Tribolium castaneum: one gene and its partner. The protein of the gene in region 1 binds, or shares a complex with, the protein of each later gene. Links are inferred from orthologs where the notes say so. Each region holds a gene or a part of one and is shown on either strand. Other genes may lie near its edges.

Evidence for each region.
Region 2: the proteins of fwd (region 1) and Golgi resident protein GCP60 are in contact, whole or in part, in an NMR structure (PDB 2N73), measured with the Homo sapiens proteins. The link is inferred for Tribolium castaneum from reciprocal best matches to the Homo sapiens genes PI4KB and ACBD3. Residues at the interface, in NP_001317650.1 of Homo sapiens: Val37, Gly38, Val42, Ile43, Asp44, Pro45, Val47, Ala48, Gln49, Lys50, Ala51, Cys52, Glu54, Val55, Leu56, Val59, Lys60, His63; in NP_073572.2 of Homo sapiens: Gln245, Ile246, Ala249, Leu250, Gln253, Thr254, Gln257, Phe258, Tyr261, Gln265, Tyr266, Leu276, Leu280, Gln283, His284, Gln287, Tyr288, Gln291, Leu292, Val295.

What each region holds. Positions count from the first base shown.
Region 1 is NC_087400.1:4,124,512-4,140,081, forward strand, and holds fwd (phosphatidylinositol 4-kinase beta), read left to right. Parts: upstream 1-5,376; 5' UTR 5,377-5,629; intron 5,630-7,890; 5' UTR 7,891-7,925; coding exon 7,926-8,089; intron 8,090-8,488; coding exon 8,489-9,073; intron 9,074-9,440; coding exon 9,441-9,834; intron 9,835-9,983; coding exon 9,984-11,340; intron 11,341-11,724; coding exon 11,725-11,909; 3' UTR 11,910-12,376; downstream 12,377-15,570. Other genes in the region: small ribosomal subunit protein uS15, read left to right, coding at 778-800, 929-1,361; protein disulfide-isomerase A3, read right to left, coding at 2,754-4,280; MMS19 nucleotide excision repair protein homolog, read right to left, coding at 12,554-12,742, 12,790-12,960, 13,006-13,150, 13,200-13,300, 13,355-13,476, 13,522-14,632, 14,683-14,826, 14,876-15,081 and 2 more. UniProt on the Homo sapiens protein: Phosphorylates phosphatidylinositol (PI) in the first committed step in the production of the second messenger inositol-1,4,5,-trisphosphate (PIP). May regulate Golgi disintegration/reorganization during mitosis, possibly via its phosphorylation.
Region 2 is NC_087402.1:2,409,051-2,424,195, forward strand, and holds Golgi resident protein GCP60, read left to right. Parts: upstream 1-8,965; coding exon 8,966-9,128; intron 9,129-9,186; coding exon 9,187-9,475; intron 9,476-9,524; coding exon 9,525-9,840; intron 9,841-9,887; coding exon 9,888-10,457; 3' UTR 10,458-10,768; downstream 10,769-15,145. Other genes in the region: uncharacterized protein LOC100187736, read right to left, coding at 5,182-5,577; 26S proteasome non-ATPase regulatory subunit 8, read left to right, coding at 6,129-6,236, 6,287-6,655, 6,703-6,885, 7,001-7,138; CWF19-like protein 2 homolog, read right to left, coding at 7,184-8,830, 8,879-8,881; alpha- and gamma-adaptin-binding protein p34, read right to left, coding at 11,633-12,403; nclb (periodic tryptophan protein 1 homolog), read left to right, coding at 12,703-12,792, 12,839-12,897, 12,948-13,027, 13,082-13,255, 13,305-13,898, 13,944-14,219, 14,270-14,346; pickpocket protein 28, read left to right, coding at 15,024-15,032, 15,077-15,145. UniProt on the Homo sapiens protein: Involved in the maintenance of Golgi structure by interacting with giantin, affecting protein transport between the endoplasmic reticulum and Golgi. Involved in hormone-induced steroid biosynthesis in testicular Leydig cells.

The DNA of each region.
Region 1 (15,570 bases):
ATCTGGTAAAATACGTAAAATGAACTGTAGAATTCAATGAAGTAAAACGTTTTTTATTAGTCTTAAAATAAAAAAATAAATAAAAATAAAAAAATAAAAAATAAAAAAGTCACAAAAATGTAAACATTTTAACTTTTTTTTAATCTGTCAAAATGGATGGATTTTATCAATTTTTTTTCTCAAAATTTTGAAGTTTTTGGAGGCCGTTTTAGCATTTTTAAGTGGGAGCGGAAAATTTTAAGCAAAAAACTTTTAAATCTCGTGAAATGCTGGTACACTACGTAGAACGAGAGGAAGAATTCCGTGGAACAAACGAAAAACCATCATTATTAATTAATTCTCTAACACTTATTTAACTTTCTTTTTTGCCCAATTTATAAGTAAAAGTAAACTTTCACGACCATCTCGTCCCCTTTTAATTAATTGAACCGTCTCACAGACGTAATAAATAAAATCCGACACTTATAATGATAATGACCCCTTGAAGACCTTTTCAACTGTAGTTTCCGTTCCTTTGTTACAATCCCTTACAAATGATTAAGTCCGTGTTCAGTCACTTGAAGCGTTACATACACATCCTGTCTTGCCGACAACACTGTGAGAAAATTCCCTCGACCCTTCGTACACGCCTTACGACAAAAAAAATCAATGATTTATTTAAATGTGCCGCCTTTGGTACAATTGGTGTTACCAACCCACGTCACCAAAAATCCCTTTTACGTTTCTAGTGCTTGTGTGCTGGTTTACCCACAGATTTAGGAATAATTTAGCCTTAAAATGGGTCGTATGCACGCACCTGGGTAAGTACCCCCTTTTCCAACCCTTGATCCACCCTCTAATGTACAAAATTCGACCATTTGGGAAAAAAAACACCAAAAAAATGAGGTTATGTCACCTCGTGGTTTATCAAGTTTTTTCGTTTTTCTAGCAAAGGTATCGCCCAATCGGCGTTACCTTACCGTCGCAGTGTGCCCACGTGGCTCAAAGTGACCCCCGATGAGGTCAAAGACTACATTTTCAAGTTGGGTAAAAAAGGCCTAACTCCCTCACAAATCGGCGTGACCTTGAGGGATTCCCATGGCGTGGCTCAGGTCAGATTTGTGACTGGTAATAAAATTCTGCGCATTATGAAAGCAATGGGGCTTGCGCCTGATTTACCCGAAGACTTGTACTACTTGATTAAAAAAGCCGTAGCGATCAGGAAACACTTGGAGAGAAATCGCAAGGATAAAGACAGCAAGTTTCGCCTGATTTTGGTCGAGTCGAGGATTCACAGATTGGCCAGATATTACAAAACTAAAAATGTTTTGGCCCCCAATTGGAAGTATGAGTCTAGCACCGCTTCGGCGCTTGTGGCTTAAGGCTTGAGTATTTTTTACGAAATAAAAAAATTAAATCGATTTTTTGTGTTTTATTTTTATCCAACATTCCTCAGTTACAAATACTGTTATTAGGAGTGTAATAGTGTCTTGCTATTACGCTACGAACTTGGTATTATTAGGGTTATTACTAACATCCGGAGGTTTCTTACTGACATGCAACATCGAAATCAGCTTTAAAACGTTAAAAAAATAAAAAAAAAAGATTGGCTGGGGCGGGGTTTGAACCTGTGCCTATATCAATTTTTGGGTCTTTGATGTTATTTTTTGCAATTTTGGCTTATGTTATTGATTTAAATGCGCAAATAACGAATGTGGGACTATTTTGACTTCCGGTGTTTATAATTTTAATTTGTTTATATTAAAAAAAAGATAACTGGAGTGGGATGTGAACCCTGGTCTTGTAGAATTCAATTAACTCTGTTTGTTTTTTTTAAACCATTTCTTACAATTTTCATAATAAATGTCAGCGATTTTTAACCAAAATTTGAATATTCTGTTTGCAAGCGTCAAAAAATTGAAAAGTAACATAAAAAACAGGCTTTGGTGGATTCCAATCCACGTTTTTTGGAATTTATTGAAAAATTTTGATTATCGATTCTTTTTTTTTTTTAATTTTAAACACGCCTTAGTGTTGTGTTGATCTGTTTTCCAGATAAAATTAATAAAAATAAACCGGGCTCGTGCAGGATTCGAACCTGCGTCCTCCGAAGTTCAAATTTTTAGGCCGGCGCTCTAACCACCTGAGCTAACGAGCCATTCCTTGATTTATTTATTAATCCAAAAAGTTAACTTTTAATTAGGTCATTGCCGCAATTTTTTATTTCCATCATTTAATAAAAATGTAAACACAATTATTCGTCCCAGATGAAAAAAAATTCCAAATATTCAAGTAAAATACCAAAAAACATGAGTTCAAAGCCCGCCCAAGCCAATTTTTTTTTTAATTTTAAACGGCAAAAAACTGACGAGGGAGAGAAAATACTAAAATGTATCATTTTCGAATAGCGATGATATTTTACGTAAAACACAATGATGATCAGAGTTAAATATTTAGCCACTCATTTAACTGGAATTCCGAAAAACGTGAGTTCGAATCCCGGCAAAGTCAGTTTTTTTTCTTGTTTTTTTTTCTTTTAATGCGACGCATTAGACAAAAGGCATAAAATTTGAGCCAAATTGATTTATTTTTTCCTTCCTGACAGTGTGGCAGATGAAATAATTAGAAAGTCGAAATAATTAATGTGCAAATGACAATATATAAACGATTAAGATTTTGAACAAATTATTGGGCAGTCAGTTATTTAATCTATTTAAAAAAATCCTGACCTGACAAAATCAATAAAAAAAAAATTTTTTATTCTCAAAAATTAATTACAACTCGTCTCGATCATCCTTGGGATTCCCCTTCCTATCATAATTCTTCAACTCTTTGGTCGCCTTCTTCGCCACAAACTTGACAACTTCCTCGGCACTCCTCTCCCCCTCGTACACCACCGGCCCCCTTTTCCTGTTCTTGGCCAACCAGAAAATATTCGGTATCCCTTTCTCGTTGAACACTTCAGGCACTTGATTCTCCACGGCATCCATTCGGACAAAAGCCACATCTTCGTGCTCCAAAAGCTCGGCAACTTCACGCAAAACCGGAACAAACTTCTGGCATTTGAGACTCCACGGAGTGTACAAATCGAGAAGCGTGTCTTTGCCGTTGTTGGTCACCGTGTGGTTGAAGTTCTGGGTGACGGCAATGATCACAGGACCGTCGTTTTCCTTGGGGATGGGTTTGGAGCGATAGTAGGGAGTCAGTTTCCGGTTGATGAAGTTCTGGACGAAGTTATCAAAAGTTGAGGTGGTGAAAGGTTCCACCATGACGTATTTTTGGTTCTCGAGGTCAAATGCCACAACCAGGGGGTTAGTGGGGGTGAGGTTATCGGTCCGGAGGTCGGAAATTTCGTCTTCGAAATCGTCGGTAGCACTTGTGGCGATTTTGACGAAGTTTTGGTACTTATGGGCGATTTTAATCAAACGATAGCGCCAGTAATTTAATTCGGTACCACCGGAGTGATAGTCGATTGTGTGGTAGACGATGACCAAAGGGTTGGGAAAATCGTGTCGATTGTTGGGCGTTCTGTGGCCAATTAAACCGTGGTAGTTCCGTGTAATAAAATTTTTTATCTCCCCAATGATACTCCTCCCTGTGAAAAGTACCCGTTCTGGTTCATACTGATTGTGGAGACTTTTTGGCCGAAAAACCACAATCCCATTACTAACACCTTGCTTCAAAATCACCTTCTCACAACTAGAGTACGCAAAAATCATACTCTCTTTCATCTCCTCCGCGACACGGAAAAAAATCCTCCGTAGCTTCGTCTCCTCTTCGAAAAAACCCACAACAATTACATCATCCTGCCCTTCAATAAACTGCCGAAAGTGCTCAAAATCCACCAACTCGACCGGATTTGGCACCACTTGAACGCGCATAAATTTCACAATACTGCGGGCATCTCTAGACCCGGTGTACTCCTTGACGAAGCTTCCGTTACGGTAGAAGTGGAACACGGGAAAGGGGTAGGTGATGTTTTTTTGGGTACATGTCGTGCGACCCCTTCCAGAACAGTCGATTTTTGCGAGAGTTACGGGGATTTGGTTGGTGGATAGAATGTGGGCGGCGCGTGCGAAATGGGGGCGGGTCTTTTGGCACATGCCGCTCCACGGAATGAAGAACTGGACGAGCAGGGTGGGGTTGAGGCGGAGCTGGCGGTGGAAGTTGGTGTCGGATAGGCTGAGGACGTGCGCGTCGGAGGGATGGGCGGGACGGATGTGCTGGAGGAGGAGGAGCAAGAGGAGGGGCCACATGACGGGAATTTTGACGTTTCGAACTGATTTTGAGGTTATTGTCATGTCACCCAAAAATTAAAAAAATAAAATAAAAATACCAAAATACTTTGGGTCTAACTTGCCGTATTCTTAGTAAAATAAAGGAAGAAGAAAAAATAAAAAAACTGATTTTGATTGTGTAAAGGAAAAAAAAACGAAAAAAAAAACTGATTTTGCCAGGATTCGAACTCGCGTTTTTCGAGTATGTCCGTTTAGATATCGCTTTTTTCGATTTTTTGGGTTTCTAAAACGCACGTTCCTTATCAATTCGCAACCTTTGCCCCAACCATTCACATTTAGGGTCACTAAAACCATAAATTGGGTCAAACACTCGAAATTTTATCGCTACAATAAAAACTTATTACATGACACTCGTAAAAAACCCAAGTATATCGTAAAACAAAGCCGCATCAAATGGAATTTCTTGTTTACATTATTGAGATGAGAGGTAAAAACAATACAAAAGAATAATTTGTTGTCGCTGCATGGTACGGTTGTGTGACCTTGATATTGTATTAAGTAATCGCTAATTCACTAAACACATTTTTTGTAAAAAACGGCCATAAATCACCGTAACGAGTGCGTTAACACTGATGGTTAATAATCTAATAACTCGATTTTTACGGATTTCTAGCAATTACAACTTCCGATACTTTCATTTCCAATGACACACTTTTCTCGATTTTTTTTCCGGTTGAATGACCTCGAAAAAGTAAATTTTGCATCAGCAAGGTCATAATTTGTTATCAACCCTTGATGCATCAAGCAATCGTGTGTCAATTTTTCGAAAAAAACGTCAGTGTTGCCACACTAGACCCGTAAGTACAAAAAACACTTTTACGATTATTCGTAGTTTTTTTGGGGCAAAAACGCCTCCACAAACCACAGTTCCACTCGTTTTAATTTTGCATAGTTTCAAGGCCTTTTGGGTGCACCTGCACCCAAAGCCTCAATCTGGAACGTAAATAAAAAGGCTTGGGGGTGTTTTGTGAAGTGCGAAACGTCGCATTCGCGTCATTTGGTGACTCACTGTCGGAAAAATGTGCCAATTATCTCGAAATTCCTCAAAATTATCTCAGGAATTTTGGTGTGAATGGGGGGTTTTTGGTGTGTGGTTGGTAGCGCACGTCCCCCTCTCCCGTCACTAGTGTGCATAACATGGCGTCTTTACCGTGGCAGTTGTGTTGTGATTGCGTTAAAAATCCCGTTTTTTGCACTTAAAATCGAGTTATTTCCGGCGGAAAAGCGTCCCGGGACCGGAAGTGGCGTGCATGTGTGCAAGTGCGCCCCCTTTGAGGATATTCCAGTGTTTGGTGTATGTGTGACGTTTGTCCGGATTTCTCCACAATTTATTAGAAAGTTTATTCGCAAACGTAGGTCCAATTTATTGTTTGGGGTGTTTTTGGGGTCGGGACACACCCATTTCGGGGGTCTTGTGTCCCCAAAATTAATCTAGGGCACGGATTTGGCGTGCGTTGGAATATATCGAAGGCGGCGGTGAAGGGTGTGACAAAATGGGTATCAAAACAATGGATTGATAACGTGATAAGATTGGAGAGGTCAAGGATCGAATTTAAAGGGTGAAAGTTTGTTGACATGCAAATCGATCAAAGTGGCTGGGGATAAAAAAACAAAAATTTATTATTGTTCCTAAGGTGGCCATGAAAAATTATGCCAAAAACAATTGATTGAGACATACAATTACTTTAATAATCAGTTTGGCTATGAAAAATTTGACGTTTTTGTTAAATTTTTTGATCTGACAAGCTCTAGTTTGTGGGAAAGTGAAATAACTTAATGCTGATAATTGAATTATTTTCGCTTAAAAATGCGTTAAAACAAAAATTAATCAGGTGGCCATGAATTTGTCATGAAATCTACGCTTCCATCAATTATTTTGGTTTAAAAATTGAAGAATTTATCTAAGTTTATGTTTTTTTTTATTCTAACATAGTTAGCCATGAAAAATTGTGTCAAAAACAATTGAATAAACTGTTATAAAAATCAAGTGGGCGCGGTAAATTTGGTAAAAACCGGAATTTTGTCGTAAAAGTTATAATAAATAATCAGCTTGGCCAGGAAAATTTGGCATTTCCATCTAAATTTTTTGATCTAACAAGCTGTTTTTAGATGGATAATACATTTTTGTCTAATTTTTTAATTAACAAAAGATTCACTAATCTTTGGACACTAAAACGAAATTAATTAGGTGGCCATGAATTAGTCTTAAAAAAATCTGCGTGGCCATGAAAAATTTTACATTTCTATCAAATGTTTTGGTTTAAATACCGAAGAATTTATCAAAATTTATGGTTTTTGTTTCTATTTTTATAATTTTATAACTAAACAAAAAATCTAATTTTTAGTCGTTTTTCTATAAATTTGGTGTCACAGTAAGGCAAACAAATTAAACTGTGTGTTTGTTATTTTTGCTCAAAATTGGATGAAACAGTGTTTTTCTGTTTTGTTTAGGTGGCTATGAATTTGTTTTGTAAAAAATCTCCGTGGCCATGAAAAGTTTAACATTCCTATCAAAAATTTTAGTTATAAATTCCAGAATTTATCTAAATTTATATGGTTTTTTGATTCTATTTTTGGTTAGGTAACAATTTGGTACTCCGTTGGCCATGAAAAATTGAATTACATATTGAAATATATATTTTTTTTAAATCACAGTTGGCTGCTAATTGCCGGTTAGTATCTGAAAATAGTCGACCTTCTAAAATCTAAATAATTAGTTTTGTCTTTTTTTATAACTATTCCTAAGTAGAAGAAATCAAATTAAAAAAATATCTGAAAAAGGCAGTGATTTCCTAATTGGCTATGAAAAATTTACAAAAAATTGTAAGATACTGAAGTTCAACTATAATGGAAATAATTAAAGGGGAACTACTCAAACGAGTGTTCAAATGAAATAAAAACAAAAAGATTTATGAATTGTTTTAATTAAACCATGACATTACCTTACAGTGGCAAAAAGTAAAAAAAAACTGTTTTTTAATTAAAAAATAAAATGCCAACCAGAATTAGAGACTGTTTTTATTTTATTTTTAAACGTTTTTATTTTTAAAGTATTCAAATTAATTTATATTGTGGCTAAGGTCATCACAAACTTGCGATGTTTGTGTCACGCGTTTTTAATGTTAATTTTCTGATAATAATACTGTTGAATTTAAAAAAAAAACTGATGTGTAAGGTAATGATAATTTAGGAGCAAAACAACTAATTTTTCTTTAAAAAAACAATTACAAATTTAGCAAGAAAAGGTTTGAAAAGTTCTTTAAAAATTTAAAATTTCGTATTTATCGTTGCATTAATTGTCAAATTATTGCACGTTATCTTATCTCTGGTTTTGTATTATGTGGAAAAATTCTGTTTCAAAAAATGAATCAAGTAGTCACGACATTTGTGATTCACTTATTTTTGGTTGAAATTTTGCTAAAAATAAATTTGATGTCACAATGGGCCAAAAAAAACTGTCACCAATTACGTGTTTATAGAAAAACAGGATTCGGTTAAAAATAATTGATTGAAATAAATTCTCAAACATTCTTGACCTCCGAGCCTTCTTTATCTCAAATTATGCGGAAATGAAACATTTTTCCGACCATTGTGATAAGAAATGGTTCTTCAGGTCTGTGATACCGACAATGGAATGACGTATTCGAAATGAGCGAAGTACAACAACAACCCATGGCGGCCCACGTAAAACGGCCAAAATTCGTTGGGTGTAAAGATACAACAGTACCATCAGTCCATGGACGACCCAACAACCATCTCAATAACAAGATCAGACTAAGCAATCATCAAAGGAATTTGAGTTTGGACTTTAGGTAATAAAGTACTGAACAGAAATAGAAACTTAATCAAACCAGCTGTGAAACAAAAGCGCATTATATTAATAATTTGTTTTCTCGAGCGCGGCCTACTACTCGTTTCCGATTTACTCAACAATCTCTACCTACATATATTTTGTAAATAAATAAGATTTCACTTGTGTGTGTGTCTGTCGAAAGTGTTTGCCTAATTACAACCTAATTAGTTAATTAAAACGAGGAAAAAATCGTGCTTAAGCGAGTGATTGTGGGGCGTTTAAAAACGCACGAGTGACCCAACAATTTTTTTTATTTATTTTTTTTTTTCGAAAAAAAAAAACGCGTTGGTGCGAGTGAGTCAACTATTTTTTATAGTTTTTTTTCTGTAATTTAGAGACGAAAAATGTTTTTTTTTAGGTCGATGGGTATTTTGCTCCCTCCTGTCGCCCAGATAACGTCTTCCACCTCCCCCCACCTCACCCTTCACCATCGCAATCGCAGTCTTGATTCGGCCCTTCAGCGTATTCCCGAAGTGGACGTTACACCAAGTCCCGAATGTGAACCGACTGTTGTTGTAGTTGTACCACCGATAGTCGACCCCAAAACAACACGTGATGAACTTGCCAGTTTGGGGTCGGATGATTCGGGTATATTGTGTGGAAGTGATTCGGGTTCAAGCGATACAAGTACAACAACGCGTGAATCAAGCGTTGACGAGACGAAAGCCGAGTGTTGTATAACACCAACAACAACACTATCACAATCCAATGAAACGAGTAAAGGATTTGGAATGTTGAGATTATTGGAGAGTAAAGTGTTTGATGTGTCAATGGCAATGCATTATCTGTTTAAAAGTAAAGAACCAGGTGTGCAAAGTTATATAGCGAATAAGATGTTTAGTTTTGATGATGGAGAAGTGGATTTTTATTTGCCACAATTGGTTTGTATGTATATACAAATGCACGACGTGGCTGAAGTTATACATCCGTATCTTATACATAGGTAAGGACGAGCGTAGTGAGTGACTCAAAGTTAAAAGTTGAACATCTGATGTTTTTCTACCCTTTCTACATCAATTTTACGGTTCATATATACAAATTATGATTTTTTTTAACTATGTACCCCTATACCCCTTTTCTCAGATGTGGAAAAGAGATAAAAATTTGTTATTATATTTTTTTTGACTTCCTGCTAGTTGAAATAAAGACATATTTGAGCCTTTTGTTGCAAAAACTTGTTAAAATACCCCTTTTTGCGATTCTAAAATGCCCAAAATTATCCCTTCTTCCCTGTTTGAATGTCGGAATGAGATATTTATGATTTAGTTTTTTGGATAAAATGACCAAAAACCCCCGTGTACCCCTTTCAGGTGTAGAAAATCGATCGACTTTTCGCTAAAATGTGCCTGGCTTTTGGACGCCTATAGTTCTGATGCTTCAGTACCATCGAAAAAGAAACCACTCGGCATCAAACTTCGTAATCTTATACTTTCCGACGAACTTCGACCCAAAGACCATAAAACACCCATCATGGTCTCTACCACCTTTAGCACTCTACATTCAACAACTACGAAAAAATCACATCAACGTTCACAAAGCGACGCTTCAGCCCTTGGTACACGACGCCCTTCAACCACCGACAAACGCCTCTGTATGGGCGACCTCACCTCCGGTCGTGCCTTTGACAACGGATGCACATGTTTCGACAGTTGCAGAGGCGTCGTCAATGACCTACGAGGCAAAAAGACTGAATGCACGTGCTCGGTAAGGGGTACCCCTTTTCAGAAAATGTTAATTTCGGTCCCCAGGCTTAAAATACAAGTCCTACCCCTTTTAGAAAATCCCGACCCCTTTTAGAAAATCCCGACCCCTTTTAGAAACTGACGACCCCTTTTCTAAAAATGCGTTTTTAGGCTCCTAGACTCGCCCCCGAGCTTGAATTTATGAAAGCGCTGATTTCAATCGGTAAATTACTGTCTTCTATACCGACCAAGGAAGCAAAAACTACAAGATTAGTAGCGGAATTAACGACACTTAATTTGAATTTGCCGGCTCGTGTTTGGTTACCCCTAGCAACGACCCCACATCACATTGTTAGGATACCGCCACAAGTTGGCGCCGTCTTAAATTCCAAAGATAAGGCACCTTATATTATCTATGTCGAAGTGGTGGAAGTTGATGATTTGCATACGTCAATTGTTACACCAAAAATATGGCCAACGTTACGTCACACAAAATCTGAGGAAAATTTAGGTGATACGACCTCATTATCGGCGTTTAGTATGTGTGGGGGTTTGTGTGATGATACTGACCCCGATTGGAGTCAGGAGGATGATGAAATATCGCAACAGGTAATTTTTGGTTTACAGCACGAGGCAAGTGAGTGCCTCAAACTATATATTTTTTTTCAGTATACGCAATTGAAACGTATAGCTGATCGCGATACGTTGTCGCAAATGTCACAAGAATCGAGTGATTCGAGGGAACCCCCGATGTGGATAGCAGCCGGGGAAATACGCAGACGTTTGTCTGATTCAATTCATGAGGAAAAAAATAAACAGTTCACCCATGATCCTCAGGATCCTTCTGCCGCAGTGCTGAAGGAACCATGGCATGATAAGGAGAGACGTATTCGTGAATGTAGCCCATATGGGCATTTGACATCATGGACGCTACTGTCAGTGATAGTGAAATGTGGCGATGATTTGCGTCAGGAATTAATGGCATCGCAACTTTTACAAATGTTCCAGAAAATATGGGAGATGGAACATGTACCATTATGGGTGCACCCATATCGCATACTTTGTCTATCAAATGATAGTGGGTTGATTGAACCCATTTTGAATACTGTCTCACTCCATCAAATCAAAAAACATCGACAATTGTCACTGTTGGAGTACTTTATCAATGAGTATGGACCAATAACGTGTGAGGAATTTTTGACAGCTCAGAAAAATTTCGTACAAAGTTGTGCCGCCTATTGTCTCTTTTGTTATTTGATACAAGTGAAAGATCGACATAATGGAAATATTTTGTTGAAAAGTGATGGTCATTTAATTCATATCGATTTCGGTTTTATACTGAGTATGTCACCGAAAAATTTAGGATTCGAAACGTCGCCGTTTAAATTAACGGCTGAGTTTGTTGAAGTCATGGGTGGTGATCAGTCGGATATGTTTGAGTATTTTAAGATTTTAATTTTGCAAGGATTGGTCGCTGCAAGGAAACATATGGATATGATTGTTCCATTGGTCGAGATTATGAGATCAGGTAGGTTTTTTTTCAAAAACTTATATTTTCCAAACGGTGCATCGTACGTGAATAATTCTTTCATTTTTGGATTCAGCGGGTCGTTTTACGTAAGAAAAGATGTCGGTTTTAAGTTTATTCGGGTGAAGTAGGTTTGACTGTAGTTTGTTGAATTTTGGGAAATGTTATTTTTTGACTTTAAATTCAGTTTTTGTGGGTTGTTTTACGACGTACACATTTTTTTTTCTTTAAAATTCGGTTCTTTTACGGTAAAAATAGCTGAACTAAGAATTTTCTTGTCATACCGGGTGACCACAATTTTGCGGCCACCTGCATATCTCGGTTAAAAATGGCGCTAGAGCCGTCAAATTTTCTCTGTACAGTGTGTTTTTAACCTTGTTTCAGGTTCGCAATTGCCGTGTTTTAAATCGGGCGCAGCGACTGTCCAGAATTTGAAGAACCGTTTCCACATGAGTATGACCGAGGAGCAGTTACAACTCGAAGTGAATCGTATGGTGGAAGTCAGTATTCACTCACTATCAACGAAACTTTACGACGGTTTTCAATATTTCACAAACGGGATACTTTAAAAAAATGCTCAATTATATCATAAACACCATGTATAATAATTTTAGTGCGAAATAAAGTGATCTGATTTGCCATGTGAGTGAAGAATACTCAGCGGCCAAAGTGTGGAAGCAAAAAAACTTTGTATATATAACATTCCATTTGTACAGTTGTTTTTTAAAAATCTAGTGTTTTTTGTAAATATCTACGTAAAGTTTTAGTGTTGGCTAGATAATTCACGTTATCCATCCATTTTTAAATAAAAGTAATATATAAGTATATATTGTATAAATACATGACTGAAATTATATAAATGAAATGCAAAAAGACTGATGTCAGCAGTAGGCTTTTTGCAGGTGTTATTACTTTTTTTTTCTTGAGTTGGAAACCAATCAAAACTGTGCATGTTTTATTATGAAATTTTTGAATATTGTATTTTATTATATTATCTATGAATTGTATTTCAAATAAACGATAAATTAATAAACGATCACACTATTTTTCTATAACCAGTAAAACGGATACAAGCAAGAGGGTAAGTAACATTATACAGAAGTCGGTTTAACGTTTAACGAGCATAATGTTTGCCAAAACGAGTGAGCGCAAAAATTTCGAGGAAAAAAAATGGTGAAAAGGGTAATTACAGAAACCTGTAATGTAATAAAATTTATTTATCAAAATCTAACAAAAACCACATAGAGCGCGCCTCCACTGCTTCCCTTCGTACAATTCGTTTCTTATCATCGATTACTTGTCCTAAAACCTTTAAAACGTCATTTTTGTGAGGCAAAAGCATAAAAATTGGAAACTTAGAAGTGACTTCTTGTAAACACTGGAGGGCCAAAATTCGCACTTTCTGAAACAAAAATTAGCAAAAAAACCTGTTTTATTTTAACTAATTACCATAGATTTATCATAAGTTGCTAATTTGAGAAATCTTGCCAAAAAAATCCCCAAATTTTCCTCAATAACTTGTTCCTTAGTTGTGATAAAATCGCGAATTAATCGCAAAATTACAATGAGAATCTCATGATTGGTGGTGTGGTCAAGACACGAAATAATTAATTTCGAAATCTACAAAATTAAATTAATTGGTTAAATTCAATTTGAAATTATTACTTTTCTAAATTGGACTAAAACGGCCGGTTTTGGTGCGAACTCTAGTAAATATCCAAGGCCTGATAAATACGAATTCTTGTCTGGACTGTAATTCGCACTTAATTTATTCGTAACTATCGTAAAAAACTTCTGCTGGTACAAAAATCTACAAGTTATTTAATTAAAATTATTTAAGTGCTAAATTATCAACTTACGCAACATTGCAATGACTTTTGGTACTTAAAGACTCCGAATTGGACATAATTGTGCGAAAACACGGAGCTATACTTTCATCTTTATCCAAATAATCGATTAACTAAGGCGGAAAATTAATTAATTAACGACTGAGCTAACGCAATTAATTGCCTACTTTTGTGGTCCAGAATGTGCCTAATTCGTGATTACGCATAATTAAGGCCTTGGTGAGCCATGACGTAAGAATGGGGTCGGTTTTAGTGTCAACCCGTTCCAAAAATTCCCTAATTACATCATCTACAATTAATTGTAATAATTAATTAAAACACGGAATTAAATTACCATTGGGACATTTGTTCAAAATATTTGCAACCAGTTCTATAGCTGCGTTACGTCTCAAATTATCCCTCTCCCTAATTATAAATTCAATTAATTCGCTTAAAATTTCGTAATTAATTACAACATCGCGCCTTAAACAAGTCAAGATCCCGCTTAGTAAAAAAATATCCTCAATCTTAATTCGACTTAATTCGTTTCGAATCATTTCATTTTGTTTTTCGCTCGACATTCGACCAATCACAATTTTCAAAACAAATGCAATCGTTTCGTGACACGTATCACCAGTCAAAGCCATCTCGATCAACACATGGGTGATATTTTGTGCGTTTAAAACGTCAAAAATCGCGTCACAATCGTCAAATTTGATTAAAACTTTTTGTAATGTTTTTATTGCACAATTTTTCAAAATTAAATCGATTAAATGGGCCGTGAAAAATTTTTGATTTGCCAAAGTCACACACAAGGCGTCTAGAAAACATGGAGTATAGTTTTCTGTATTACCGACCACGTGCGTAGCCACTTCGTTCGGGTAATCCCGTGCTAAAGCTTCAAGACATTGTAAGACAGCGCCTTCTTGTGGCACTTGTAACAACTTGACGTAGTTTTGGTAAAGTAAAAGTCGGATTTTTTCGGGTAGTTTCGGCGAAATGTCACGTAAACAATCAAAAGCGATTGGTGAGTCAGATTTTACAAGTAAAACCGGTACTTCCCCGAGATTTTCTAAATCGCTGGCAAGTGCATACAAGTCGGTTAGTAGGCGCAAAAATGGTGTTTTTTCAGCCGTTGTGTTGGCTATATTATACATGTTTGTTAATATGGGGACGGTTTCACGCGCTACGAGGTTGGCAACGCTGTCCGATGCGTTGGCAACACTGATTATCAAACGTGCCGACGGTTGGAATAATTTTGAGTCGGGTAAAAAATTTCCTTTGATTGTATCGCAGATATCTTTGACCGTTTCTGTCAAATTTGGGTCACGTGTGTGCTTAATAACAGCTGTCATTGTTGTTAAACAGGCTTTTTCAATTGCTGGATTTGTCGTTTGGAACAGTTCTTTTTGTATGAGTGGCCATACTGTGGTTGGTGAAATATCAAAAGTAACAAATGATAGTTCCTACAAGTTTGGTGTTTAGTCTGCGGTCCGCTACAAAAAAAACCACTTACAATAAGTCGTAACGAATCCAATTTAGCAATTTCAAGCGAAGAATCGAATTTTTCTAACGCTAATTGAAGGGAGAATTCGGCAAATTGTGGAACGGCAACGAGGCAAAAGGCGAGCTTTTCAGCGAGGGTATTTCGAGTTATGCCCTGTAAAAAATTATTATTGATTGTCGTTTAATGGGGACAAAGTGGGCACGTTTTCGTCCTGTGGCGGAGCCCTAAAATCAACAGGGAAATAACACGCCAGGATTTCGAAAGCGTCCTCAGCCAGGTGCCCCAATTTGACTTTTCGTAAAAATTTCGGAAACCAATCAAAGAGAAAAATCAGGTTTTTGGGGCTGCGTTCGCCATCAACCGCCGAAATAACACCGTAGACAAAGTCGGGCCCCATTTCATCCAATTCTGGAAAAAAGACTGATATTGAATTTTAAAAGGGGGCCCAAACCTGGCCAAAATTTCTCCAAACAAGTCTCGAAAATTTGATAAATTGCTAATCTGTCGTTTTCTTGTTGTTGTTGGCACGAGACATTGTGGAAGAGTTGGACGAGAAAAGGGCCAGGGCCCCCTTTCGGGGCCCCCTCGCACCGAATTAAGGCGAGAAAACCGCGCAAAACGGCCGGTAACACCTAAAATCGCCCTCAGTTAAAAAACAGTAGCCCCTGGACTGACATACAAAATGATTGTCCTTAAGCCGGTCCGTGTAAAACTGATTTAAAAATTTTAATTGATTTTCGTCCAAAACATCGGGGGGCAAAGTCTCGACGACACGTGTCAACACCCACATGCCCAGCTCGCGCCCCTTGGGGCTCGTATCGATAAGGAGCCCCCCTAGGTCCTCGACAAGGCGTAACAAGGTCACTTGACCCGATTCAAGTGCTGAAAGTTGAGGTT
Region 2 (15,145 bases), on another chromosome or scaffold:
TACTTTTTCCGCCCTTTAATAAATTGGCAAAATGCAGTTATATAACAAGTGACCCCTAGAAACGCCTGCATAAACCCAGGCTATCGATTACGGTAAAAGCGCGGTGTTCCCAATCGCTGCCCCGTTGGGTTTCCCCGAGATGTCGCCACCAAGACCGATCCTCTGAATACGTCATCACCATAAAACCGATATTGTATTGATTCCGTTGAAAATCGACAATAAAAGTAATGCGCCTCGAGAATTACAACTTTTGTTTGACTATCTAAAAATAGTGTCGACGAGCCAATTTAGGACGGGTTGTCACCGGCATATTTATGACGATGTTTGCCAACTTTTAGCCCCCACTCTAGTAAAAATAAACTGTTCAAAACAAGAATAATTACGCAACGAAAACATTCCCTTTTTGGCCGTTCCCGACCTAGACAAAATTTCAAGCGATTGGTCAACCCCCAGTTTTTCAGGCCTTGAATTCAGGGGTATTGATTTCGGTACGACCTTATCCCTAACTGACCTTCTCAACAACTGCGCATTTTAGTTAGAGGAGTTCGTATTGTACCGTGAATAATCCCAGGGTGGAAAAATTCATCAAAGAAACACCTTTAATTACTCCTACCTTGCCCACTGATCCTTTATTTAGTGGTAAATGCTAACATCGTTAGCGGCACTTTTGAGTGCCAATTTCGTCATAAAAAGCGCTAATTAAATTTCAATTCGCGAAAATTGATCACAAGTGGAAGGAAGGTGGAAAAATTGTACGTAATAGATTTACGCTTTGAGTCACTCTTTTTTCGTATTAGAAAGTCAGAGAGAGGGGAAAAAGAGAAATTTGAGAACAATAAGCAATTTCTGATAAGGTCTTCGACTTTTGGGTTACGTCACGTGTGGGATAACGGTAGGTCAAGGTTTTTGAGGCAAAACAACCGACCGAAGTGGACCGTGAAATCCCATTTCAGGATTCACTTTTCCATTTTTCTAAACTGGATTCGAATTTGTTTACGACAAGTAATGGGTGCGCCTTTGAACAACAAAAACAACATTATTTCTCTATTTATAGTCAATGTCCAATCGTACAATTACCACATGAAGAAGCGTATTTATTTTTAAACTTCGCAAATGAATTATTTATTAACAACGCGCGGCATTCTTTCTCGCTACATGGGCTAATTTTTCTGAAATTCCAGACGACGATGACGTCAAAACTTAACTCTTTGACGCTCAATTGTAATCTGAATTTGCGACACGCGTGCACTTTGTCGCATCACTTGGGCAAAAAATAATCCTGAAAACAATATCCAAGGCCGCAGACGCGTTACATCAAGGATAAAAGTACACATAAACATAATTATTAGAAGAGCTGATTGGAAATTTCGCAAGAAATTGTTAGAATTGTTAAAGTTTGTTACAAATTGCCCTGAATGATCTTACAATCATTGTTAAATTAACCGTTTATTTCTGCAACTGAAACTTACTGTTGCCGTTCAAAAAAAAGAAAAAACGGCTATTTTATCACCAATTAACCCGTTGTTTTTCGCAAGTTGCAAACTTAATTATCCACAACAATTCGGGACACACATTAGCCTGTTGATGTTTTACGTATAAACAGGCTAATTTGGTTTCCCAAAGTTTGATAAACAAATTACGAATTAATTAAAAATTGTTGTGTTATTCATTGATACGAAAAAAGCACAAAGAGCCGGATAAATCCGGTGAGAGTAACTATATTGCGGGATTAATTTGCCGATTTTTATTGACTAAACATAAACATGACGGTAATGAGATGACAACGACGCCATTGAATGCGCTCATAAAGTGTTACTCTTTTAGAAGTGTCTTATTAGCGCCCATATAAAGGATTTTGCGTCGAAATTGATTCCACAAAGTGTCAATATTTCGCCTTGTGGCCGAGATCTAGCACAATTAAGTCAAAAATAGACCAAAATTACGCACTCAATGCCGTTTAAATTTAATAATTCTTGAAATCGAGGCAAATATTTCTGATGGAACGCATCTTGGGCGCCATAATTCACGGAATCTTGATCGCATTTATCGCTGATTTTATCACTTTATTTGCAATAAACGCCGGTTTGTTTACACTTCGCGATTTCCACTAGATACAATAGGAAATCTTCCAGAATTTTCCTGTAATCTCAAATTTTCCAACACTTGCACATTAAGTACACACAGTGATGCAGTCAATCGATCTCGCTTTAGTGTTCAAAAGTGAAATTGCTTTTTAAATAAACCGCTGTCTATAAAAGCCAGCGCAAAAGCTACTTATTTTTTTTTTACTTTGAGCGGCTTTAGAAAAAAGAATATGGATATTTTAGAATGTAAAATATAAAAAACGGCGCCCTTTTAAGAATAGACCACCAGTAGCGTCGCACCTATTATCAGTTTTATCACTTACGTAACCGATAAGCGCAAATAGAGTAGCTGGAGCTAATCTCGTTCCCGAGCCCCAATTTTCACTTATTTTAATCTCGTATCGTGAAAAGCGTCAAGTTTATTAATTTAAACCGTTGGCGTTGTTTGGAGCATGTGAGCATCTGGCGCCAGAAATCTAACCGTTAACAATTTTAGATTACAAAAACACTGGCTTTGTCTCACCGCCAATTTTTCTTCTGCCAAATATTTGACACTCGAATTGACTACAAGAAAAATTCAACAAGATAAAACGGAAGTCATATGATGGTTTCACGCCTCCGGACCAATCAATCTATTTTTAAATCAAACACCTCTGACAATTGTTTGTACAACGTACAGGAAGTAACATTAAATATTTATTTTGTGTTATCGAGTCTTCGCATGAATACATTTCGGTTTGTTGTTCAATTTTGCAATAAATTAACGGTGTCATGTACTAATAGATGTCAATTGATTGCGTACCATTTAACCCAAAAAGAGTCGGAGCATTGACGTCCGTACAAAGCAAATTTATTTTGACTCAAGTGTTATTAAGCTCCGCCTAGAATACTGACAGATGGACGTGGCTGTGCGAACTATGGGCGGAGCTAGAGATTTAATCAAACTTTTATTGCCACATATCTGCAAAAATCGCTAATCAACAGATAAATCTGTCCGCATCCAGTTTGCGCGCTTGTTATCGTTGGAAATGAATGCATTTGTGGATTTATCGAACTGCTCCAATTCCTGCAACGTAGAAGGACCAACGCGTCGCTCCTGCACGCAGTTCATGCCAGAGTGCACGTAGACACCCCGAAAAGGGGCACAGGACGACGTAGCCGTGACGTCACTGGAAGGAACCGGGAAAATCTCCCCCGTCTTTGTCCAACACACGAATAAGAAACGAATGACCTGATTCGGTTGACCTATTTTCCTCAAAACTGTCAAAACAAACGCGCAATGTTTGTAAATACGAGCAATAAAGCGCCTTATCAGTCGTAAAAAATGAAATTCTGGAGGTGTTTTCACGATTCAAGGACGTAGTTAAAGTTATTCTTCGACGGGCGTTGCTCGAATAAATTAAACTTATGATAATAAAAACCCGTACGTGACATTCAGCAAAGAACGAGACTTTTTCCTATCAATGCCTTTCATTTAGCGAACAAGTCACTGCCAAATTATTCTCACTTGTTAGGAATTTCGCTGGCGAGTCACCCAACACCAGGGAAAACTACCAGCAAATGGGTGTATCGCGACCAGATAATGAATGGAATATTTTTATAAAAGTTGCAGATGTTGCCAGGAATTACCTACGCGCGATTACCTGTAATTACGTGACTAATCGCTCATTAATGGATTACCAGTTCGGCAAATGACTAGGCAAATTGTGCCCAAGCAGGAGTTGACAAATATCGTAGAATTGAACTCTTATCAGAGAAATAATAAATTGGTCGTTATGAAATGTTTCAACCTACGTAACTGGCGTTCTAATAATACAATGGTAAAAAATTCAAGGTTCTGCCCACATAAAGCGTTCCGTGATATCGGAACAAACAGTAAATTAAATCGCCCCAAATTTATTGAAAACTTGGACTTGTTAAATTTAATGCTCGCCGAAATGGCTAATAAAAAGCCACGATGTTTGTAAAGGTCATGAACCGGCAAAGCGTCTTCCGTGTTGTTATCCAACGGCGTCTTTAGGGCGGCGTGCAACATAATTGAAGGAATGCCAGGGCTTGATGCTGTTTGCAAAATTCCTGGTATTTTTAGCGGAAGCTCAGTCAAAATACAGCTTAGCTAGGTCAGAAAGGCCGTTGAAGGTTGTCTGCTCGCGTACAAACGAAGGCGTGTCGTATCGATTTTCCCCGTCTTCCTCCCTCGAGGGAGAAATGCATTCGAGTTTGGTCGATGCAGGAGAAAATTTCCACTATTGCACCCGTTTGAGGGTCAATACTCTCAAGGTGAATGATAAAATTCCGGAGTCGTTGGAAATTTGCCTCTCCTTTTATACCACATAAAAGTTAGATTGCTATTTATAAGGCGAGTCAACATGATGTATAAAGCGAGCGACACTTGCTGCCTGGTAATTTTCCATTCGCTCGGGCGCGGAAAGAAAGAAAGATTGTAACACACGGCCATAAGGCAAGTTTATTTCTGCATATTACATACAAATTGGTTCCATATAAGTAGCAAAACATTACGATACAAAGGGCGCAATTTGTATAGAACACATTTGTACAAGAGTACGTAGAATTACATTGTACCAAATGGTCTCGTATAAGTATTATTGTACGTGTAATTCGTTAGATATGACTGCAAAACTATTTCGATTTGGAATGTTCCTCTAGATGAGAGACTCCGCTTGAAAGCCCTCATTACAATTGCTTATAAACTATGCAATATACTAGTCCTGCTCAAAATTGCTGCGACTGACTCGCAGCAATTCGGAGCAAACTCCGATAACAAGCAAATATAGGCTCTTAAGTTTAATATAATATTTCATTAAAAACTCCTATTTCCTCCCAACAAACAGTCTTTCAGTAATAATAGTCATATAAATATCTACTTTTGACGACAGTAATAAGTCAATGATTAGAAACCGACCGAGCTAGCCTCCAGAAACCCTACCAGTCTAAATAAATCTAGAAATTTCGCTACATATCACAGGGCAATATACCAATTGCTATACCTGAACAACGCAACGTAGTTCGGTTAGCACGGTCGCAGTCACTCAATCGTCCTCACTTTCTAGGAGGTGGAGTCCTTCGGCTCCTCGTCTCAGGAACTCGTTCTTTCACTTTCGGCATCTTTACTCCTGAGCGACTTCTTCAACTTATCCAAAAGCCTGTTGTGGAACTTGTTGAGACTTGTCTCGGATCCGTTTTTTGGCGGCGACGAGGACGTGCTCTTGATGGGGCTCTGGAGGCTGCTCTGGGAGGTCCTGGAGCTGTTCCGGGAGTACTGTCGGGACATGTTGGCGGGCACACTGCGGTGGGTGGGCGAGACCATGTAGTCGGACCCCGGCGAGGTGGACAGGCTGGGCCCTTCGCTCTTGCATTCCGACACTTTGCGGGAACGGCAGGACGTCGGGTTCGAGCACTCGGAGGTCCTGCGGGAACGATTGGACTTGTATATGTCCCAATCGTTCTTCACAACGGGCATCATGAAGGCCATGGTTGCAACAATTACACTCACTCTTGCACGTGCTTACTAACAGAATGACAACTTCAGCGTGCTTCTAATACTTTTATGTCGATTACCGGCGTGTGACGGCGGCTGTGATTGGCTGGGAGAGTGGAGTGGGGGACACACCTTTCCCAAATCACCACAAGTGGCGTCCCCAATATCAACAAACGAACTAATCGATCAAAATATTTCACGCCGGACGCAAATATTCCACAATTAAATCACCGGAGTGATTTACTGCAATCAAAACAGCGGTGATTTGAAAACACCCACGAGGAAATTGCCAGTTTGCAAACAATTTACAGGAACCTGTAAAGTGAATTATGAGCTGTTAGCAAACATGAGTCATTCCCGATTGTAATTACACCACTTATCGTAAACATGTTTTCCTGGTGGTGTTTAATTTGGAGCGAATCCAAGGAAAATTCTAACTTTAGGTTTCCACCAACAGCCTGACATCTACTGACGAAACGCGGGACAAGAATTGACAGAACAATTGTCAAAAATTTGTATAAATCATCCAACTATTTGTTGCAAAAATGTCGAAAATTAACGACGTTACGACCCTTTACAAGCAACTCAAGTCAGAGTGGAACAACCCGAAGCCAAATCTGGCAAAAGTCGAGCAGTTATTGTCAGAATTGAAGGTAAGTGATTTGGGAGGTTAGGTTCGATGATTTGTGTTTTTTCCTTCCAGCTTGAATTAACTCATTTGATGTTTTTGCCGACTTCGAATGCGTCCGCTTCAAAGCAAGAATTGTTACTAGCACGGGACGTTCTAGAAATCGGGGTACAATGGAGCATAGCTTCGAGTAATATCCCCGCTTTTGAGCGATATATGGCACAATTAAAGTGCTACTACTTTGATTACAAAGACCAACTCCCTGAATCTTCCTTTAAGTATCAATTGTTGGGCTTAAATTTGCTATTTTTGTTGTCGCAAAACCGCGTCGCGGAATTTCACACTGAGCTGGAACTGTTGCCTGCGGAGCACATTCAGAATGATGTTTACATAAGGCATCCTCTGTCAATTGAACAGTATTTAATGGAGGGCAGTTACAACAAGGTTACTTTTTATAAACATTGAGCAACGTGTTAATGAATGAGTTTTAGATATTTTTAGCCAAAGGTAACGTGCCGGCAAAAAATTACAACTTCTTCATGGATATTTTGCTTGACACAATTCGCGGCGAAATCGCCGTTTGTGTGGAAAAAGCGTACGAAAAAATCTCGCTCAAGGATGCCGCAAGAATGTTATATTTGGCAAACGAAGAAGCCGCTAAAACTTTCGGCAAAGTAAGTCAATTGTATCACGAGGTACCGAGGTGTATATTACATTTTTTCTTAAGTCGCAATTCTTTAAGCTTTGTGATAATTTGAAATGCGGACGTTAGATTTTATTTTTTTGCAGAATAAGAAGTGGAAGTTGGGCCGCGACAACTTCTTCCACTTCGCGCCTGAGGTCAAGAAAATCACTGAGCCCATCCCATCGTGCGAATTGGCCGAGCAAGCGATTGAATACGCCAAGGAATTAGAAATGATTGTGTAATTTTTGTAATTTTTTTTTATTGAATAAAATAGATTTTAAGCGATTTTATTTTTTTGTGTAATCAAAGTCGCCCCATTCCTTTGAAAATTCCACTACGCGTTTGCTTTGCTCGTCAAAACTTTGGTATTTAGGTTTCCGCCATTTACTGTGGTGCAGATCGAGCATTCCGCCGATGACTTCTTGCGCAAAATTATTGGGGAAAGTTTTCTGATCCTCGATAACGTGAGCAAACCCTTCTTCCATTCCAAACGAAACAAAAAAATACGGGAGGCCTTTTGGAACAGCCCTGCGCACGTCTTTGCCTTTCAAAGACACCAATTTTTTATTTTGGGCCCATTCGGCCTCGCATTCGTCTATCGCTTTTTTGAAATAGATGGGGGCCAAGTCGCCCTCTTCCTTACCCAAGGGGATACACTCAATGTACATGTGGGGATACCTATCCAGATTTTTGGCCGTTTCGAAAAAAATAACGTCCAAATTTTTCGCACTAAACATCCTTGTTAAAGCCTTTCGGAAGTCCATTATGTCGCTCCATTCGTTTTCGTCAAGTAGCGTGGAACACGTGACGTGTCTTATGGGGGCTATCAAGCAGTGGCCTTCGTTCACCGGCTCGTACGGAGGCAAACTCAAAAAGGCCGTCTCGCCTAACGAAACCATCAAATGTTTGGCCATGGAGTCGGACTGAAGACACAATTTACAATTATCTATGCTTTGAGCCACTCTTTGATGCTCGTTAATCGCCCGGTCACGATTCCTCCTATCAGTTTTAGCCCCATCCTCTTTTTTCCGAATGTTATCGGAAAATATTTCATCCAAATCGTCGTTTTTCCGGACTTTGCTCGCCATTCGCATAAACTCGCTATTCTGGTCTTCCACTGAATTAAATTTCTCGTTTTCAAACATTTGTTGGAGGGAATGTTTATCATCATCGGCGAAATAACGCACTCTTTGTCCATCCTGATGAGTCTCAACTTTGCGTTTCCTTTTACGGCTACCTGACGGTTCATAATCGGCTTGTTGTCTCACGGGTCTCGTGTGACCCTGAGAGTCAGTTTGAGTCAAGAGAACTTCTTCCGTAGGTTTAGACGAGTCTTTCCGTTGCCTTGCAGCTTCAAGTTTCGCTTTCAGTTCCTTCACCAGTTCCGTCTTGCCCATTATTTCGGCTTTTACCAGTTTAGCCGCGAGGGCGTTTAATTCTTTGTCCGATAAAATTTCGCCCTGATCTTGCGCTTCTGGGCTAGTTTCACGTTCTTTGGGCTGTTCTGATGGTTTCTTTTTCCAGTTTGAAGATGACTGTGGCCTATTGGTTGATTTATACGAGAAATTGTGTTCGTCGGACGGTTTTTTAAATTTCGGTAAACCATCACCGCCGTCCTTCCAGTACGGATTTAGTTCTCTTGAGTGTGATCTCGGATTGTACTGCTCACGTTCCCTCTCCCACCGTTTGTTTTCTTCCCGATTTCGCCTCCTGTCCAAATGCGATTCGGTTAGAAAACTGGACGGCAAAGACATCCATTCTTCTCGATCAGTTGACGATTTTTCTTTAGGTTTATTTTTACTGGTTTCGTCCTCAGAAGACGAATATTTGTCTTTTTCAACCCATTCGTCTGAAGATGAGTCAGAGCCCGACTCGCGCGCCCACTCCCGTTTTTTGTCTTTTTTATGTTTTTTTGATTTCTCTTTATGTTTACCCTGTAAAAACGCCGGTTATTTGTACAAAAATCAAAAAGAAACTATTACCATTTGCGACGTTTTGTGAGGTTAAATAATTGTCAAAAAAATGGGGATATCACCAAAGTCACGCAAGAAATCCCCAAAAAAATTAACATGGCTGCCGAGAGTGACAGCTCACAACTTTTGGAAAATTTCTCAAAATTAGAAGTAAAAACCGCAAAACGGAAAAGTTCGGTAAATAACGCATCGAATGATACCCTAGAATATGGCCTACCGTTGACCGAAGTTTACAAGCTTGCCTTCAGTTTTTACAAAGGTTTTTGAAATCGTGAAGGTTATCACCGTTTTCCTTACTTTTATTAAATTTCTTCCAGAAAAGGAAGGCAAGGCCGTTCATTTTAGTTATGAGGATAAATTACAACTCGTCGCTTTCTCCCAGCAAGTCCTCCACGGTCCATTATCAGAAGCCATAAATAAATTACCTCCATTAGGAACACTAGACGTTGTAGGCAAAGATAGGCGATTAGCGTGGCAAAAACTAGGAAAATTATCAACAGATCAGGCAAGAGCAGGTTTCGTGGAACTGTTGAGTCGGCGGTGCCCCCTGTTCTCCGCCTATGTCGAGGCACACAGACGGGAAAAGAAGGAGCAAGAGAGAAAAGCGTAATTCGTAACTAAACCTTTGATTTTTTCACTCAAAACCCGCCTTTAGGAAAGAGGAAGAGAAACGTAGACTGATTGAAGAAGAGGAGAAGCAAAAGAAGGAGGAAGAAGCCAAACTAATCCAGGAACAGTTAACTAAAGAAGAAGCAATCAAGAGGCAAATCCAGCAAGCTCTGAACGAACAAACTTTCGACCAATTTAGGAAATATGCCGAGCAACAATTTCCCGGCGATCCCGAAAAACAGGGCGCTCTTATTAGGCAATTGCAGGATCAGCACTACATCCAGTACATGCAACAATTGCAAGCGGCACAAAGGGGGGAGCAAATAAAAAGCGTCGATGAGGAAAAGACTGATCCCGATTGGGTAATTACCCTTTTATTCATACCCATGTGATAAAATAATAATTACAGAACAATCAAAGTGACGAAATAAATTTAAACGAATCTTCCTCAAATAGTTTAATCCCGGCCAGTATGTGGACGCGTTCTGGCATCGACGAATTCAAGCAGACTGTGGCTCAGGCCGAGGGTGATGGGGTTGTGAGAGTAGGCCATGGCGAGACTGTTACTGTTAGGGTCCCCACACATCCGCATGGGACGAGACTTTTTTGGGAGTTTGCCACGGATCATTACGATATCGGTTTTGGGGTTTATTTCGAATTTGGGACTCCCACAAGTGACCAAGTTTCGGTCCACGTCTCTGAAAGCGATGACGAAGACTTGGAAGACATAGAGGAAGAGATTTACGATGAAGAAGCGATACAAACTGGCGACTTGGAGGCCGGCTCTGTTGCTGTTAATGGCATTTCTAAACCACTTCTCACCGAAATCGTGCCAGTTTATAGGAGGGACTGCCAGAGTGAGGTCTATGCAGGGTCTCACCAGTACCCAGGCCAGGGAGTTTATTTACTTAAGTTTGATAATTCTTATTCGTTATGGAGGTCTAAAACTCTCTACTACAGAGTCTATTACACGCAATAATTAATTATTTCATTATACAGTTGTTTTGTATTCGTTTTTAAGCTTTGATTACGTTTCTGATCAAAGTGGCCTGGGACTGAAAGTTGGTAACGAACTATCAATGTCACAGACCACTCTGTTTAAAAATTTAATTAAAAACATGGCTTATCGCTTCTCTTGAAACAAGCTGACGGTTTTTTTGGTTTTTCATTGAACTATTCTTCTAGTCTGAGCGCAAAAAGTATTGTAAGAAAGTCTGTGGTACCCATTGAATAATAAAATATTTGTGCAATTTTTATGTAGTACGAAATAAAACTATTGTACAAATCGAACGTCTTTATTTTATTAAAAAAATACTCCAAGGCACATGAATAAAAAACTGTTACATAAACTACACACCTATAAACTAAATCTGTGACGCTTCCTGTCTCAATTCCTGTGAGAAAGCCGGCAAGCTTCGCAATTTCTTGGCGATGGCGAGTCCCAACTCCCCTGAATTCTTCGTGGGGCTCATAATGAGGCGTCTCCTGAGTTTCGGGTTTAAACTGGGGCGTTTCGGCAACGTCTCAACGGACTTTTCCTTGGCCGTTTTCCTTGCGGGGGTCCTGTCTTGATCCACTGGCGACCAAATGATGGGTTTTCTCCTGGGTCCTCTTTGAATAATTACCATTTCGTCGGCACTGGCGTTTTTATTGGGCGTTTCGTGATTGGCTTCATTAAAGTGGATTTCGGTTAAAGCCAGTCGGGCTGAACGGCGGGGCTCAACCCTTTCGTCTTCTTCGGCCATTTTGGGGGTTCAAAAATGACTATTTTAGTGATGTTCTTGGAAAAACGCCCGAGTCCCGAGTTAACCTCACAGGACCATCGTTTCCCGGGCGCGCTAATTTTCCCTCTATTTTTTGGACACGCGGACTCAACGGCTTCTCCCCACCACCCAAGTGGTGGCCTCTATCAGCTGATTCAACAGGTGGTGTTTGTTTGGGAAGACAGCTGATAGGGGAGCAGGAAAAAATAAAAAACCGTTTCATTTTACATTTCATCTGACAGTTATTATTGTTATAACCCCAAAAGTTACAGACATGTCAAATAGTCACAGCACACTCTGACGTAAATTTATTTATTAAATAACGATACAATACGTAATATTTTAATTTGTAATTATTTTATAATATTTTAATTAAATGCAATGGAATAATTTACACATCTGCAATCTCCTCTTCATCTCCCCCAATTGCGCGCCAAAACGCCGTGACCACCTGCTCGGCGCACTGTTTCCTCTGATTCATCGGCAAAGACTGCAAACTCTCCTTCATCATGCTTAATTGTGCGAATAAATCGCTAAAATCATCGCTTCCTTCACTTGTAAGAAACTCCTCACACAACTCGACCACACTGTCGTTTTTCTTCTGATTTTTCACGCTCAAGTCGTTTTTCTCTTGGTTTTTCATATTCAGATTGGACCAAGTGTGGGTCTGGAGGGCTTCAATAACCCTTTCAACACCAATTTTTTCCTCTATTATGTCCTGGTCGCAGGTTTGCGATCCTGGGTACAGTTCTATTAATTCAAAGCCGTGCTTTAAACACCATTCTGTAGCGGCAGCTTTGGTGATTTTCGTCTCGTTGGTACAGTAATTTGCGATTAGGAGTTTGATCTCGGGATCGCAGTCTTCTTGTAAACTGGACCACATTTCTAAGTCCTTTAAACCATTTTCCTTGTTTGTGTCTATGTGGATTACTAGAGCCTCGACGTTGTCATTAAATGCCTGACTTCTTTCGTGGTGTTCTGTTATCCCAATTACATCAACTTCGGCGGTATAATATTTGGTATCGATTGTCCAAGTGTGGACGATCTTGGTAGAGTCAAGGGGGTCCTCTTGGATGTCCGCACATTTCGTTATGAGCTTAATTAACGACTTTGGCTTAGTACTACTGCTACTAACGATAACCACACTCGGTTTTGCACTCATTTTGACAAAAAACTATTTTTAATCTTCTGTTTGACAAGTGTCAAAGTTTTAATTGAGGTTGTGTTTTTATAACCACAAAAACAATAACATTTTGACTAAATACAAAAAGGCTGGCCCTCGTGTTAGGCTAACGGTACACACAAAAAATACAATTTTTTGATTAACTCATATACTCATATTTAGTCAAGTTTCTTTAAAAAATTGCCGAAAACATACAAACTGAGGTTATTTTTTATAACCTTAAATACATTCGACACGTGTGTTTGACACCTAGCTCGTTTTACTAAAATTTTGGCTAAATGGAAGAAAACGACACCGAAAATCGAGTTAATTTCATCACTTGCGTCAAGTGGGTGAAGAAAGGAGTGGCAAAAAGCCAACCCGAAAAGGTAATCTACAAAATACAGTAACCTCGCTCATGACTCGGTTTTTTAGGTCCAATTGTCCAAAGCCGAGCTCGTACAAGTCATAAAAGCCACAAAAAAGAAACTTCGGTACGTATTCGAGTTTTTGTTACTTGTCACCAATCAGTTTTTTAAAACAGAGTCACAAATGAGGAAAATGCTCAAGGTGAATCATCGGCTCAAGATGAGTTCAATTTGGAAAATTATGACGAACAAGACGGTAACTGAACTTAGTGTTACGACACCGTTACGTTACGTGACTTTTTTTTATTAGAAGGCACCGCTGAGGCTTTGGGGATAAGTTCACTGGCTGATTTACAAAATAATGAGGAAGAAAACTTCTCTGAATCAGACGATTCGGACAAAGAAGACGAAGTTATCAAACCTAACGATAATTTAATTCTAGTTGGACATGTGGAAGGTGACGCAAGTTCGCTAGAAGTGTACAGTAAGTACTGTACTTGAATTAAAACCAACAAAAAAATAATTATTCCAAGTTTACAACGAGGAGGAAGAATCACTTTACGTCCACCACGATATCTTACTTCCCGCCTTTCCACTTTGTTTCGAATGGTTGGACTACGAACCCAACGCCCCAAAAGGCAGTTACTGTGCTATAGGTTCCATGACCCCCATTATCCAAGTCTGGGACTTGGACATAATTAACTGCATAGAACCCGCGTTTAATTTAGGCCGAGCCGCAAGTATTAAAAAAAACCGACCTCACGTCGGCCACAAAGACGCAGTTTTAACTTTGGCTTGGAACAAAACCTACGAACACGTCTTAGCTAGCGGTTCAGTTGACAAAACTATACTTTTGTGGGACTTGGAGAACAAAACTCCAAGTACGACCATTTCCGCGTTCAAAGACAAGGTCCAGTGCATGCAGTGGCACAAACTGGAAGCGCAAACTTTACTAGCTGGGTCTAGCGACAAGAAAGCAAAAATTTTCGATTGTCGCAACCCTGAGACACATCAGACGTGGAAAATAAATGGGGAGGTTGAAACTCTGGTCTGGAACCCGCTACAACCGTTTTCATTTTTCGCCGGTAGTGATACCGGAAATTTGCAATATTTTGATTGTAGAAAAGGTAGTGAGTTTTTAGTAAAATTCAGTCGATAAAATCGAGATTTAGGTCAAGTGTGGGCTGTTGAAGCCCATGAAAAGGAAGTCACTGGGTTGGTTGTGAGTCCGCAATGTCCCGGTTTATTAGTCACATCGTCGCCAGATGGGACGATAAAAATTTGGGACTACACCGAAAATGAAGCCACTTTCGTGTTCGAAAAAGATTTTAGTTTAGGGACAGTCCAGTGCCTGGATTTGTCGCCCGATTTGCCGTTTGTCATAGCGGCAGGAGGGGATAATAAATCTAATAATTTTCTAGTTCACGATTTGAGAAACATCGATGTTGGTACGTTGCCCATTTTTGGTAATTAGTAGTTGGTAAAAGTTGTTTTGTAGTAAAACACAAGTTTGGAGACCGGCAATTAGAAGAATTAGTCGCAGAAAGTACAGAAGAAAGCATGAACACTGATTAGATTTTAATCAAAGTGTAATAAAACTCAATAAAACAGAATTAATTGTACTGTGTCTTAATTACGAGTATAAAACCCCACCTTGTTGCATTTCCCACAGAAATAATGAAACGGCCGCGCTGTAAGTTACGATTGATTTAAACCAAAGCCGTATTATTTTTTTTAGGTAAAGTGATAATAAATCGGGTGCAATGTTGTACAAAAAATTACTTCCAAGAGACCTCTCTGCACGGCTTTCGCTACATAACCGACCAAAAATCGTCAAAATTCAAATCATACTTTTGGGCTTTGGTGTGCACAATAAGCACTTGTTTGTGTTTCATTTTAATTAGATCACAGTTCGTTTCCTATTATTCTAATCGGATTACAACAACAATCGCCACCACTGCTTTCCCCATCTGGGAAGTCCCTTTTCCCGCTGTTACCATCTGTAATTATAACGTAGTCTACAAAGACGCAACAATAAAAATCAGGCAACTGTAAGAGCACAAATATTTCGCATAAAATCGTATGTTTTTTTGAGATTACACAATAGAGTCTCATCGGCCGAAATTGACAACTTTTTTGCAAATTTATCAGTATTGGTGGCTTCGGCTAAACTCGATTCGCAAATAAACTGGACCAAACATAAAAAAATCATCGCGATTTTGCAACGTTTGGGGTACACCACTGATGTATTGATGGCTCAGGTATTATTAATTCCTGTGAAATAATTTTAAAATGGTAATTCCAGTTGGCACAACCTTGCGAGCAAATGATTTCCGATTGTTTCTGGAATTCCAAACAGAGCAATTGTAGCGAC